Linked DNA regions of Yarrowia lipolytica. The protein of the gene in region 1 purifies or fractionates together with the protein of each later gene. This does not show direct contact. Links are inferred from orthologs where the notes say so. Each region holds a gene or a part of one and is shown on either strand. Other genes may lie near its edges.

What was found.
Region 2: the proteins of YALI1_E29665g (region 1) and YALI1_D07124g purify together in Saccharomyces cerevisiae (affinity purification with western blotting; 3 studies listed by BioGRID, with this or other methods). This does not show direct contact. The link is inferred for Yarrowia lipolytica from reciprocal best matches to the Saccharomyces cerevisiae genes NRD1 and RRP4.
Region 3: the proteins of YALI1_E29665g (region 1) and YALI1_E34621g purify together in Saccharomyces cerevisiae (affinity purification with mass spectrometry; 6 studies listed by BioGRID). This does not show direct contact. The link is inferred for Yarrowia lipolytica from reciprocal best matches to the Saccharomyces cerevisiae genes NRD1 and CBC2.

The regions. Positions count from the first base shown.
Region 1 is NC_090774.1:2,964,193-2,969,066, reverse strand, and holds YALI1_E29665g (uncharacterized protein), read left to right. Parts: upstream 1-1,895; coding exon 1,896-2,018; intron 2,019-2,535; coding exon 2,536-4,293; downstream 4,294-4,874. Other genes in the region: YALI1_E29709g (uncharacterized protein), read left to right, coding at 1-937. UniProt on the Saccharomyces cerevisiae protein: Plays a role in sequence-specific regulation of nuclear pre-mRNA abundance.
Region 2 is NC_090773.1:710,634-713,990, forward strand, and holds YALI1_D07124g (uncharacterized protein), read left to right. Parts: upstream 1-1,788; coding exon 1,789-2,790; downstream 2,791-3,357. Other genes in the region: YALI1_D07118g (uncharacterized protein), read right to left, coding at 1-1,200; YALI1_D07149g (uncharacterized protein), read right to left, coding at 3,213-3,357. UniProt on the Saccharomyces cerevisiae protein: Non-catalytic component of the RNA exosome complex which has 3'->5' exoribonuclease activity and participates in a multitude of cellular RNA processing and degradation events.
Region 3 is NC_090774.1:3,461,232-3,464,641, forward strand, and holds YALI1_E34621g (uncharacterized protein), read right to left. Parts: upstream 1,443-3,410; coding exon 1,237-1,442; intron 939-1,236; coding exon 632-938; downstream 1-631.

The DNA.
Region 1 (4,874 bases):
GGCCTTCAAGCCCACCTCTGCAACTATCTCTGTTGTCCAGGATGTGGTCGAGACCCAGTCTCAGTACTGGCGATGTCTGCAGCCTGGCTTTGAGACTATCATTCCCAAGGAGATCACCACGTACGATCTGATGGGTGACGTCGTTCGATCCTACCAGGCACGCAAGCTGTTCGACAAGTACAAGCTATCGGCTCTTCCAAACATGGGAGGAAGCAGCAGTACGCCATCTGGACGGGCTGCCACTGCTGGTCCTGCTTCAGGATCGTCAATCTCTCTGGCAGACCAGATTCTTGCATCACCAAAAATCCACTCGGCCGAAACCGTGGTTGTGTTTGTGCATGATCCTCCTCAGATCTGGGGTAAGGTGGACGCTGTCACTGGCGAGCTTGACTTTGATTCCTGCATGGTTGACGTGACGACAAAGTGGCTGGAGTGGGCACATGGACGGGGATACGGTATCATTGACGTCAACATTCCCAAGGCTTTGAATGGAGCTGACGACGACAACTACTATGCACTGTTTGCCAGCCAGGAGGTGTGCCTGTATCTGTGGGACAAGTACCTCAGTGTGTTTGACGCGCAGAACGTGATCATGGTGGGCTTTGGTGATGCCTACGCTGGTCTGGTGCATCTGGTAGGCCACCGAGACACCCGAGAAAAGGTCAACTGCGTCATCAACTTCATCTCCGAGACCCAGCTGCGCCCTATTGTCTCCATTATTGACGAGTACATCACCGACTGGTTCTACCGATCGTCACTGGTTTTCACTGCGGACACCCATCCCTGCTGGGATGTGAGCACTAACCCCAAGAAGCCAAGGCGTAAGTTTGGACGAGTGCTCCGATGTGACAGCACCGGTCTACATCGAATTGTGGAGGAACGGTTCAAGGAAGCAGTTGAGTTCATTGACGAGCAGCTGGAGGATGATGAGGAGTAGAGAGAGAGTGTGCAAAATAAAACGAAATGATGTATTTTTATATAGAACCCCTGAAGTCAAATGATTTGAGCTGTATGTACGGTACATACTGTACCTACTGTATCATGTGCATAAATTGTACAGTAGTGTGAGTGAGTAAAAGAAGATTGATTGGTAATATAGTGGTTCAAGTACTGGTAACCGGCAGTGTACCCTGTGTTCAAAAATTATAAAAATATATGCCTTCGACCAGATTTGAACTGATGATCTCAGCATTACTAGTGCTGCGCCTTACCACTTGGCCACGAAGGCGGCTATAAACTTTTTGAGGATGGTAGCCATGGAGTCCTGACACGAGAACTCATAATCTGTTCCCTAGAATAAAAAAACCTGTTAAAAAAGCACAAAATGATGTATCTGTTGACTGTTTCATCTTTAAGCCTTTTCTGACGTTTATTATACTGTGAGAATAAGCTCTGACCAGAAGTTAGGACAATACAACTTTCCGTACAGCATGATTATGGTTCCCTCTTGGGCTCAAATTTATACCACATTCTTCTCTTACCTGAGTTAAAAGAAAAAAATCTGAAGTGCCATTGAGACTCATGTACAGTAGCTACATAAATAGATTTGATAATACAAAAAATTCAACGTAGTATATAAGGAGCCTGTCAAAATTTGGCAAACAGGGCAACCATAACATCCTTCTATATTCCACGATGACACTTTCACATCATATGACTTACAACCTATGTAACCTTAAATCCGGCCGGGTAACCCTAACTACAATATGGTACCAGTTTTTGCGCAACCCACTCTCCTTCATCCACACAACATCTCAGCACTCAGCAAAACATTCTACGACAACACAAACACAGTACTCGTATCGTATCAAGTGGTATTATTGTAGTACAGTATTTTGCCCCCAGCTTTGACACACGCACTAAACACACAAATCACGACACACACACAAACACAAATGTCTTCGGCAGTGGAAACTGAATTCGAGGCGCTTTTGGCATCCATGTTGGTGGCAAAGGCTCCAGGAGTGTCTGGCTCCAAGATTAACGGAATTCGAGAGTTGGCCATGAAGAACGTTGATGTGAGTATTATCCTGACTTTTGTGACGACCAACCGGTAGATCGTATGGTATATATGGAGGTGAGACGCAACGGTGACAATGATGACGACAACACACGAGTGATATCAGGGACTTTTATCGTATGAACTGACACGCTTGTCCAGTGTCTATTTATCAATGTGTCTTATTGTCGGAACATTAACAAATGATACCCTTATTTTGTTCTTACACAAGTGGAGATGGCGACCCGGCTGCCACACCTACAATACAAAAAAAATCACCGTTATTTCACACTGTTATTTTGCTTTCATTGCAGTAAAACACGCGCGCGCAGTATAACACGTACACAGTAATCAGTTGTACGTTGCAACTGTACCATTGTATCTGGTTTGAGGGTGAACGAACATCTTGTCACACTCCAATATGGTGATAAGATGGCTCCCCAAGTTTTCAAATCATCTCAAACCACTATCGTAACCACCGTAACCTACGAGATCATGGTACCCCATAGCCCTTCCCCAACGTATTACTAACCCAGATGGAATCCACTCTCATTCCCATCCTTGAGCGACATCTCAACAAGACTCCTCTGAGCCACAAGCTTGGAGCCATGTATGTTCTAGATGCCGTTGCTCGAGCGTACCAAGAGGAGAACAAGAAGGTTGGCCATGCTCTGAACCCCCAAGCTCCCGACGGCTCCCATGCCAAGGGTCTTTTCCGAATCTCTGAGTTTGTCGAGAGAGCTGCTCGAGAGTGTGTAGACCATACTTCCTCTGACGACACTCGAGACAAGCTGGACAAGCTGGTGGAGATTTGGCAGAAGGCTGGAACTTTCCCCCCTGACTCCATGCAGAGAATGCGGGGCTTCTTTAGTATGTCCAAGACCCCTGAGCAGTCTCCTCCCTCGCAGCTGATTGATCTCATTAACCAGGGCCAGCCCCCTGTCACTGGATCCACAGCAGCTCCTGCTGGAGGCGCCAATGCTGCTGCTGCTCTGGCCGCTGTTCTTGGCGGTGCTGCTCCCTCTGCTCCCGCTGCCTCCAACCCCGTGCCTACTGATACAGCCTCCATTCTGCAGGCTCTTGCTAGCATGAACGCTGGCGCTGCCGCGGGCGCACCTGCCCCCGCACCCGCTGCCAACCCCAATGCTGCTGCTGATGTGCTCAAGATGATCATGGCTCAGTCTGGCGGTGCTCCTCCTACCATGCCCGGTGGAGATGTCAACCAGGCCTGGAACCTTCCGTCGAGAGACCCCCGAGACCCCCGAGATCCCCGAGACAACTTCCGAGACCGTTCTAGAGAGTACAGAGACAGGGACCCCCGGGACCGAGATCCCCGAGACCGTGATTTCGGACGAGACCGAAACTACCGAGACCGTTCTGGAGACCGAGGGGGAGACCGAGGAGGAGATCGGGACTTTGGCCGAGGCCGAAACCAGAACCGACAACCTCCCGGAACCGACACCTTTGAGGACGACGCTCCTCCTCCCACCGAGAAGAAGGTCACCTACGACAACTCTTTGCCTCCTGGAACCATCAAGGTGCTGTCTCGAACTATCTTCATTGGAGGTGTGACTATGTCGACCACTAACGAGGAGCTTCTATCCATTCTGCGACCCTATGGCCGAACCCAGTCGCTGGTAATGCACAGAGAGCGAAAGCACGCCTTCTGTAAAATGTACACTCGAGCTGAGGCCGAGGCCGTTCTGCAGAACTTCACCCGACTCAACCAGCAGGGCAGTATCACTCTGCGAGCCCGATGGGGTGTCGGTTTCGGTCCTCGAGACTGCTCCAACTACCAGACCGGTATTTCCGTCATCCCCATTGCCACGCTTACCGAGGCAGACATGAAGTGGGTGGTTTCTGCTCCCTACGGAGGCACTGGAGGAGTCCCTGTGGCTCCTGGCATGTGTATCGAGGAGCCCGATATCGAGGTTGGTACCGGCGTTTCTTCCAAGGCCAAGTCCAAGCGAATGCCCACCAACGCCGGTGGCCGAAATGGACCCCGATCTTCCTTCCCTGATCGAGAAGGGGGCGGAGGATTTGACCGAGATGGGGGACGAGATGGAGGCCGAGGTGGGGGCTACGGAGGAGACCGAGGTGGATACGGAGGAGGTTATGGAGGAGGTTACGGAGGAGGAGGCTACGGAGGCAACGCCAACCACGTTCCTGTCGGCATCAGATCTCCCGCTCCTCCACCACAAGTCAACGCTGCCCAGATGGACGCCAACGCGGCTCTGGCAGCTCTCTTCCCCAACGGTATCCCTTCCATGGGTGGCTTTCCTCCTCAGCAGTAGATAGCTTACTAAGAGAGGAAAAAATGTATAGATAGATTAATGATTATGATATTTAAAGGTTTTGAGTTGTATGTGGGATGTACAGCACTTATACAGGCTTGTTGTAGTTGTCCCGTTACGTGGTTTGAAGTCACGATAATCTTCCCATGCCTATACACCAGTCAAGATGTAGATGTCCTGAACGAATGAAAAGAAAAAGGATGAAAAAATAAAAAAAAAACATAAAAAAAAAAACAACCACTTAGATGACTAATTTAAACCTCGATTTGAAGTCATCGTTGTAATTCTGTTAGAATTGCGCTTCTTTTTGAGAGGGTCTCTTGTCGGCTCCAGCAGTCCTACGTACATTACCTTACAGGTATAATCTGGGCGCTCTGAGAACGTGGCTCTCAGGATAAGAGATTTCACCAAGTATTTTACTGACAACAGGCTAATTCTACAACGAAAATGAACTGATATAATACTAAGCAACCCCTCAAAATTTCCATCAACGTGTACATAATACATACTATATATAAATCTCGGCTCCTCATTAGAGTTCACGTCCAATATCTGACTGTGCAGTAACATCTCCAAAATTC
Region 2 (3,357 bases), on another chromosome or scaffold:
GACGTAGTGGCTGTAGTGATTGGGAATGTCTTGCTTGACCACGGGCTGTCCGGCCTTTCGCTTTCGCACCTGAACAGGGTTAATAGTGGGCTGGGTCCTTCTGTGTTCGTCCAGCAGCTTCATGCTCTGTTGCACGTACTCTGCGCCGTCGAGATTGAAGCACTTGACATACTCGGAGACCTTGTTGAGCTTGACATTATGTTCCAGAGCCTCGTACGAGTAAGGGTTGAGATCGTTAGCCATGACAAACAGAGAAGTTCGTCCTGAGGGAACGGCAAAGGGACCCACGCCTGCAAAGACGTCACAGACAGCCGTAGCAGGTGTGTTGTCGGGCTCGACAGCGGTTTCGGTGCTCTTCTCGTGGTTCTCTCTCTTGGCTCGCTCCTGCTGCTTACGTTCACGCGAAGAAGCCTCTCCTCTGAACAGGCTGACCAGCCGGTCGTGCTCGGTATGCAGTCGCGAGTTCCAGTACACCTTTGCGAAATCAAACTGGAATCGGCAGCCACTCTCATGCTGCTCCACCTCGGTGTTATCTTCACCGGCCAGAACGTCCATCTTGAACGTTCGGAACTTCGTGTCGATAGAATCGACCTTGTTGACCACGGTCTTGACTCGGGGGTTCTTATCGAGAATCACCTGGCCAATGAGTCGGTCGTAATCCTTCCATTCAGACCGCAGGTTGAGATGAGCCACATGTCCCACCATGGAGAATCCACTGGGAATCTCGTCTTTCTCCGTGACTGGCAACACGGAGTAGAAAATCTCGTCGGCTCGCCAAAAGTCGTAGTCGAGATCTTTCACAATCTTGGTAATATCTGCCTGGGCCTCGGTCAGCAGCTCCTTTCCTCGGGGACTCAGCTGGCTCATAACCTTGGAGGCTACATCTTCACCTCCCTCGAGATCCAGATCGTGTCTCAGAAGAACGGCCCGGCCATTGTCGTCCGTCTTCTGAACGTGGTTAATGCTTCGCAGCTGCAAAATGTCGGCCTTGCACTCCTTGGCGAACTGCGCAATGTATTTCGGATCAGGGAACTTGGCCAGGGCCAGGTTGAGAGACACGGTGAACTTGGACCGGTCCAAAACCGTCATTTCGCGGTTCAACGGGGGTTGCGGTGTGTACATTCTGCGGTAGAGACGGTGTGAGAGAGTCGGCGTGAGAGATTTCGGTTTCCACAGACCCTTCCAGAAGTTGAACTTCATAGAGGACTAAAAAATCGTGCATGTTGAAAACTTCTTATCCAGCATTAGGTTCTGATGCATTGTGAATGAATAATACACCTAAGTAATTAGTTTGATGTGGTATGAAAAGTTGTTGAAATAATTCATGGAAAATAATTGAAATCTGAGTCGAATTTGATATATCTCTGCAGAAAAGAACAAGTTCGATTTTTCTATCAATTTTCATAGTGATATTGTTTTATATGCTCTTAAAAAATGATTTTATACACTTTTGGAAGTAAACCGATTTTATCTGAAATTTAAACCGATTTTGTCTGAAATTTAAATCGATTTTGTCTGAATTTTGAACCGATTTTGTCTACATAATAGTTGGGTAAAATAAAACTGCTCAATATAAGTCGTAAAAGTTCGGGGAAAATTAAAAATATATTATTATTTCTCCTTAGAGTCTTATTCAATCTTCAAATAATCCGTAAATATACTCGATACCCCGTTTTTCCACCCACTTCATATCCTTCTCTTCGCCACACTCAAACCTTGATTTAGAAAAATATCCCAGGCACATATCCACCATCAAACCACCCTTATTACATCCACAAGTGCAACACAATGGCCATCTTGACGATTCAAAAGGCGACTCCCCGAGAGGAGGAAGACGTGGAAATGGTGTATTCGGACGCCGACTCGGACGCCGAGGAGCAGATGGTCATGTCTGACGACGAAAACGAAGATATGGACGACAATGCTCAGGCAGCAAACGTGGCTGCGGGTCTGGTGACGCCCGGCAAGCTGATTACAGAGGACCCCATTTGGATGCGAGGCCACGGTACCTACTCGGTGGGCAACAAGACCTTCTCATCCACTGCTGGAGTGGTGACCAAGACCAACAAGCTGCTGAGTGTGGTACCGCTGCGAGGCCGATACCAACCCCAGATCGGAGACCACGTGGTGGGACGGATTGTGGACGTGGGAGTGAAGCGATGGCGGGTCGACATTGGCGCCAAGCAGCTGGCTGTGCTTCAGCTGGGCTCCGTTAACCTGCCCGGAGGTATTTTGCGTCGAAAGCAGGAGTCCGACGAGCTGCAGATGCGAGGATTCCTCAAGGAAGGAGATCTCATCAACACAGAGGTTCAGTCGCTGTACCAGGACGGATCTGCTGCTCTGCATACCCGTTCGTTGCGGTACGGTAAACTGCGTAACGGAGTTCTCATCACTGTGCCCAGCGCTCTGATTGTGCGTGCAAAGAGCCATGTTCACCAACTGCCTGGCGGAGTGGACACTGTGGTGGGAGTCAATGGCTGGATCTGGCTATGTATGGCCTGGGCCAATTCTCACCTGACTCGAGAGAACACCACAAGTATCACTCGACTGGAAGAAGAGGCCTCTTTGACTGAGACATACAGTGACAAGAACGAGGACATTCCCCGGTCTGTCAGAGAGAACATTGCGCGGTACGCCAACTGTTTCAAGGCTCTGGCTGCTAATGAGGTTGGTATCACCGAAGATCGAGTCATTGCTGCCTACGAAGCCAGTTTGGTGTACCCTAGTGCTGGAGACTTGATTGATAAGGAGGCAAAGGAGATTATTGCTGCCAAGGCTATTGCTGCGTGAACATAATGCCTTTGAAGGTACAGCCTGAGTGTTGGGTGTGAAGCGGAGACTCATCTAGGGAGTAGCACTGGCTGTGGCTCTGCATGCAAGACTGGACACGGGCCAGATATAAATGTATTTATAACAGATGAAGATTAGCATTGTATGTTTTATGTTCTGGACATGGAGAGTTACAGATATAAAGTACTTTTTTAAATCAATGGCACGTACATTTCTGACGAAGAAAACACTCGTAGATGAGAGAGAGATCTATTGCATGTACTTGTCGTAGTCCAAAACTCCTTCGGACTGCAGTAAGCACATTCGGGATATATTGTGATCACATGCTGTATCATGTGACACGATCTACATTACCTGACGCCCTTCTTTCCCTACAGTCTCTCGATCAGGTATATTCCTTGATACTATTTACATATATACAATTACTTCTGTTCGGGCTTGGTCTCAACCTTGGTCTCGACCTTGACGACAGGCTCGACCTTCGGCTCCTCGGGAACCTCCAGAATGTACAGGTGGTTTGTTCCGAAACCACCAGTCTTGTTCTTGACCACGGTCATGCCACTGTCC
Region 3 (3,410 bases), about 500 kb from region 1:
CTCACGTATTGTTGCAAGTGGGGCTCACATGGCTTCCCACAGACCCTTTCCTCAGATGCCCCTTCAGAGAAGGCACTCTTTGGGATAACTTGGCCCCGTGTAGGTATGCGGCTGCATTCCTGTTGTTCTCGCACCGTATTTTATCGCCGTGGAGATGAAATCCACGAACATTAGTCCACGCTCGGCTCCGCTAATACATGCCCCCAATCACAAAGACAGTTGGATATAAATAATATTTTAAACTGTGTACATATCTGGCAAGGTACAAACTGACAGATTTGACATATCAATTGCGAGTTTGGTTGACATTGACGTGTTGACACCTTAGTGTAGTTCCTTCTCAGTTGACACCTATCATCTGTCAGCTTCCAATTAACGAAATGTAATCCTACCATTAAGAACCTGTCATCAGAAACCTGTCACCAATAAGCTGTCATCATAAACAAACAAACAATCAACCTATCGGTGTCAAAGCGCGTCCCAAACACCCACGTGCAATACACGCATCTGGATTGTTTCCCGTCGATCCCAACCTGTCCGATCCATGTAATCCTATTATTCAACAAAACCCACAATATCTACTGGTGAATTACCAGAGGGTTTTCTTTTTGGGCTGACTATCGGTTTAGTCTCAGTAATCATCTCCTCCTCGCTCATCATCTCCCCATCGCTTTCCAAATCCTCCTCGACCGGAATCATAGTCCTGTCGGAACTCATCTCGCACCTGGCCTCCGGAGGAGCCCCGGCCAAATTGTCGTCCCTCCTTGAAGCCAGGATCCAGATCAATGGTAATGATTCGCTCGTCAAGCTTGGTCTTATGCAGGTATTTGAGGCAGGCGACAGCGTCGTCGTGCTCGTAGTATTCCACGAAGCAGAATCCACAAGGAGTCTTTTGGTATCGGTCGAGACCCATGATGATCTTCTTCACCTTTGCAATTCTGTGTTAGTATAGGCCGGGGAGATATGCCATAATGCTTTGAACTCGGGAGATTCCAGTTGAGAAGTGATTCCAAGAAAAGCGACATAGCAATCCGAAATTAATATTCCAGTTTCTAGATAGCTGCCTCAGAAAACAATTCAACAGTCAATCTACATGTCGATCGAAGTCCTCGAGTCGTAGAGTGGTTGAATTGGTCTTGAAGACGTCAGTCTAACATCCCCGAAGTCCCTGATTCTTCAGATCCTCTCCTGTGCTTCTAAATCCACACATGGGAAACAATTGGGAGCGTTACTCACTTGGTGAACAACTCGTGGATCTGCTCCTCTGTTGTGAAGAATGAGAGGTTACCGACATAGAGAGTGGTTGTGACATCCAGAGCAGCGAGATCCTCCTCACCCTGTCGAGATCTTCGCGCTTGTCGCAAGACATAAGAAGAGGGGCCGTCGAGTCGCTGAGCCGAGTTGATGGGCTTGGCTGTGAACAGATCCGCGGGTTCAGACATGGTGTGTAATTAGTGTGAAACGAGATACTTTGGTGCTGAGCCGAAAAAGTGTAGATTTCGACGTGCATAAAATATCAGTACAAGTACCCCCACAGTACGTGTGTTCGATTCACCAGTGGGTCGTAAAATTAGGTATAATTCTAGAAACCTTAAACTTTTGTATTACTAAAACACCCGACGGTAGGCGGCATACAATTAATTTCTTTTTACACAAGCTAGATCCTTCCACTGGTACGTACCGTGTACATATAGAGTACTTGTAGCGCCAAAAAGAAGCATTGTAATTATAGGAATAGGCCTTAAATCACCCTAATCCCCGTTTTTTTTCACAGGCATGTCAAACTTTTGGGAGTATAATATATGTGAATGTGTGAGTTAATGAGTGAAGGAGATGGGCGGTGAGTGAGTGTGTGTGTACAATACATTTCGCTCTTGGCGAACAAAACTGTGTATGTATGTATACAGCTGACGTTTTTGGTGCCAATATTGCGCACTAAAGTCGAGCTACTTGAGGGATGTTACATACTTACACTGTAGCTTCTTGAACAATAGGATCTCTCTTGTCTATATCAAGATGACATCAGATAATGTGGAAAAGCAACCATCGATAGCAAAGGAAGGCTTACCCTTGTTCTTGTCGTGTGCCGCAGGGTATTTTCGTCGGTCTCCGAACAGACTGCTGAGATGTACGTGTTCTTCGGTTCATTAGGTTGTGCATCCTTTTCTGCATTAATATTTTATACCTTACACGAACACTATCGAAGTATGCAACCGCATGGAATTCAGCGTGTGCCTGTGCCTGGGGGAGAGAGAAGATGAAATACAGTGGAGAAGGTGTAGGGGAATCCGGAGAAGCCCATTGTTGTGACCTTAGAAAATCCACAGCTTCAATATGCCACGATACGGGAAGCTATGATTACATGTCCCGAAATGTATACAGGACATGAAATGTAATTCATTCATTTAGGACCCTTTTGCCATGGATGGTCAGTAGGGTAACACATTTTAACGAGAACAAGGTAGTTTACAAAGTTTGCAGATTAGTCGCTCCCCATTAGCAAGGTTGAAAAAATTAGCTAGAATCCAGACACGCAGGGAGCGAAGATAACAAACCCCACAAGGCTGAAAAAGAGATATGAATGGTCAGGCCAGGTAGGCTGTGTAAGAGTCTCAAGCAACGTCGCTCGTACTCCAGGTACCAGGTCACGTGGCTTTTCTTGTAGTTATAGTGCCCACCCTCTGGGCTGCATATTCATGTCCTCTTCCCCACTCTTTTGATACTAGACTTTTCGGCTTTGCCGAACCGGATAACCTCCAGGTTTAGGGCTACATGTAAGACCGAATATCTATCCGCCAAAAGAGAGCACGCACCACAGCTGTGGGATTCCGTTATTTTCATGAGCGTTGTCTGTCGGTTCCCAGGGGTGGGTTTGCTGTCAAACAATACAGTAGACTGGTGAAAAAGATTGACCCTATAGCAGTCTGGGGTACGAGACTTATGACATTCATGGAATGTGGAGAAATGCCAAGACGCTGGGACACGGCAATCTGCGACATTGCCCGTGGAGAGACGACGAGCTTACTCGCAGCTGAATAACAGTGCGTTATCTGGTGGCGAGGGTTGCCAGTTGTGCGCGTTACCGTCGTTTTCTATATTGTCAAAACGAAAAAGAGATATGCGAATGGTTATGGTTTTTTCTACAGACCAATGATAATTCCTAATGAAAGACGTCACATCTTGTGTTTTCTTAATGAAGTGTATTAGACAGGGGCTAACGGATCTAAAAATGGTGAGAAATTTAAACTTGCAAGTGTTTGCGAGACCAGACCAGCTAGTCGGACTGTTTACTTGTCTGTCTCCCCGCAAACAAAAATACATCCAGGTCTTTCTTCATGATTAATTAGGGCCATTTATGAGTAACTTGTGCTTTCTCTGTTTGACCAATCTAAAGTTCAATACGTTGGTAG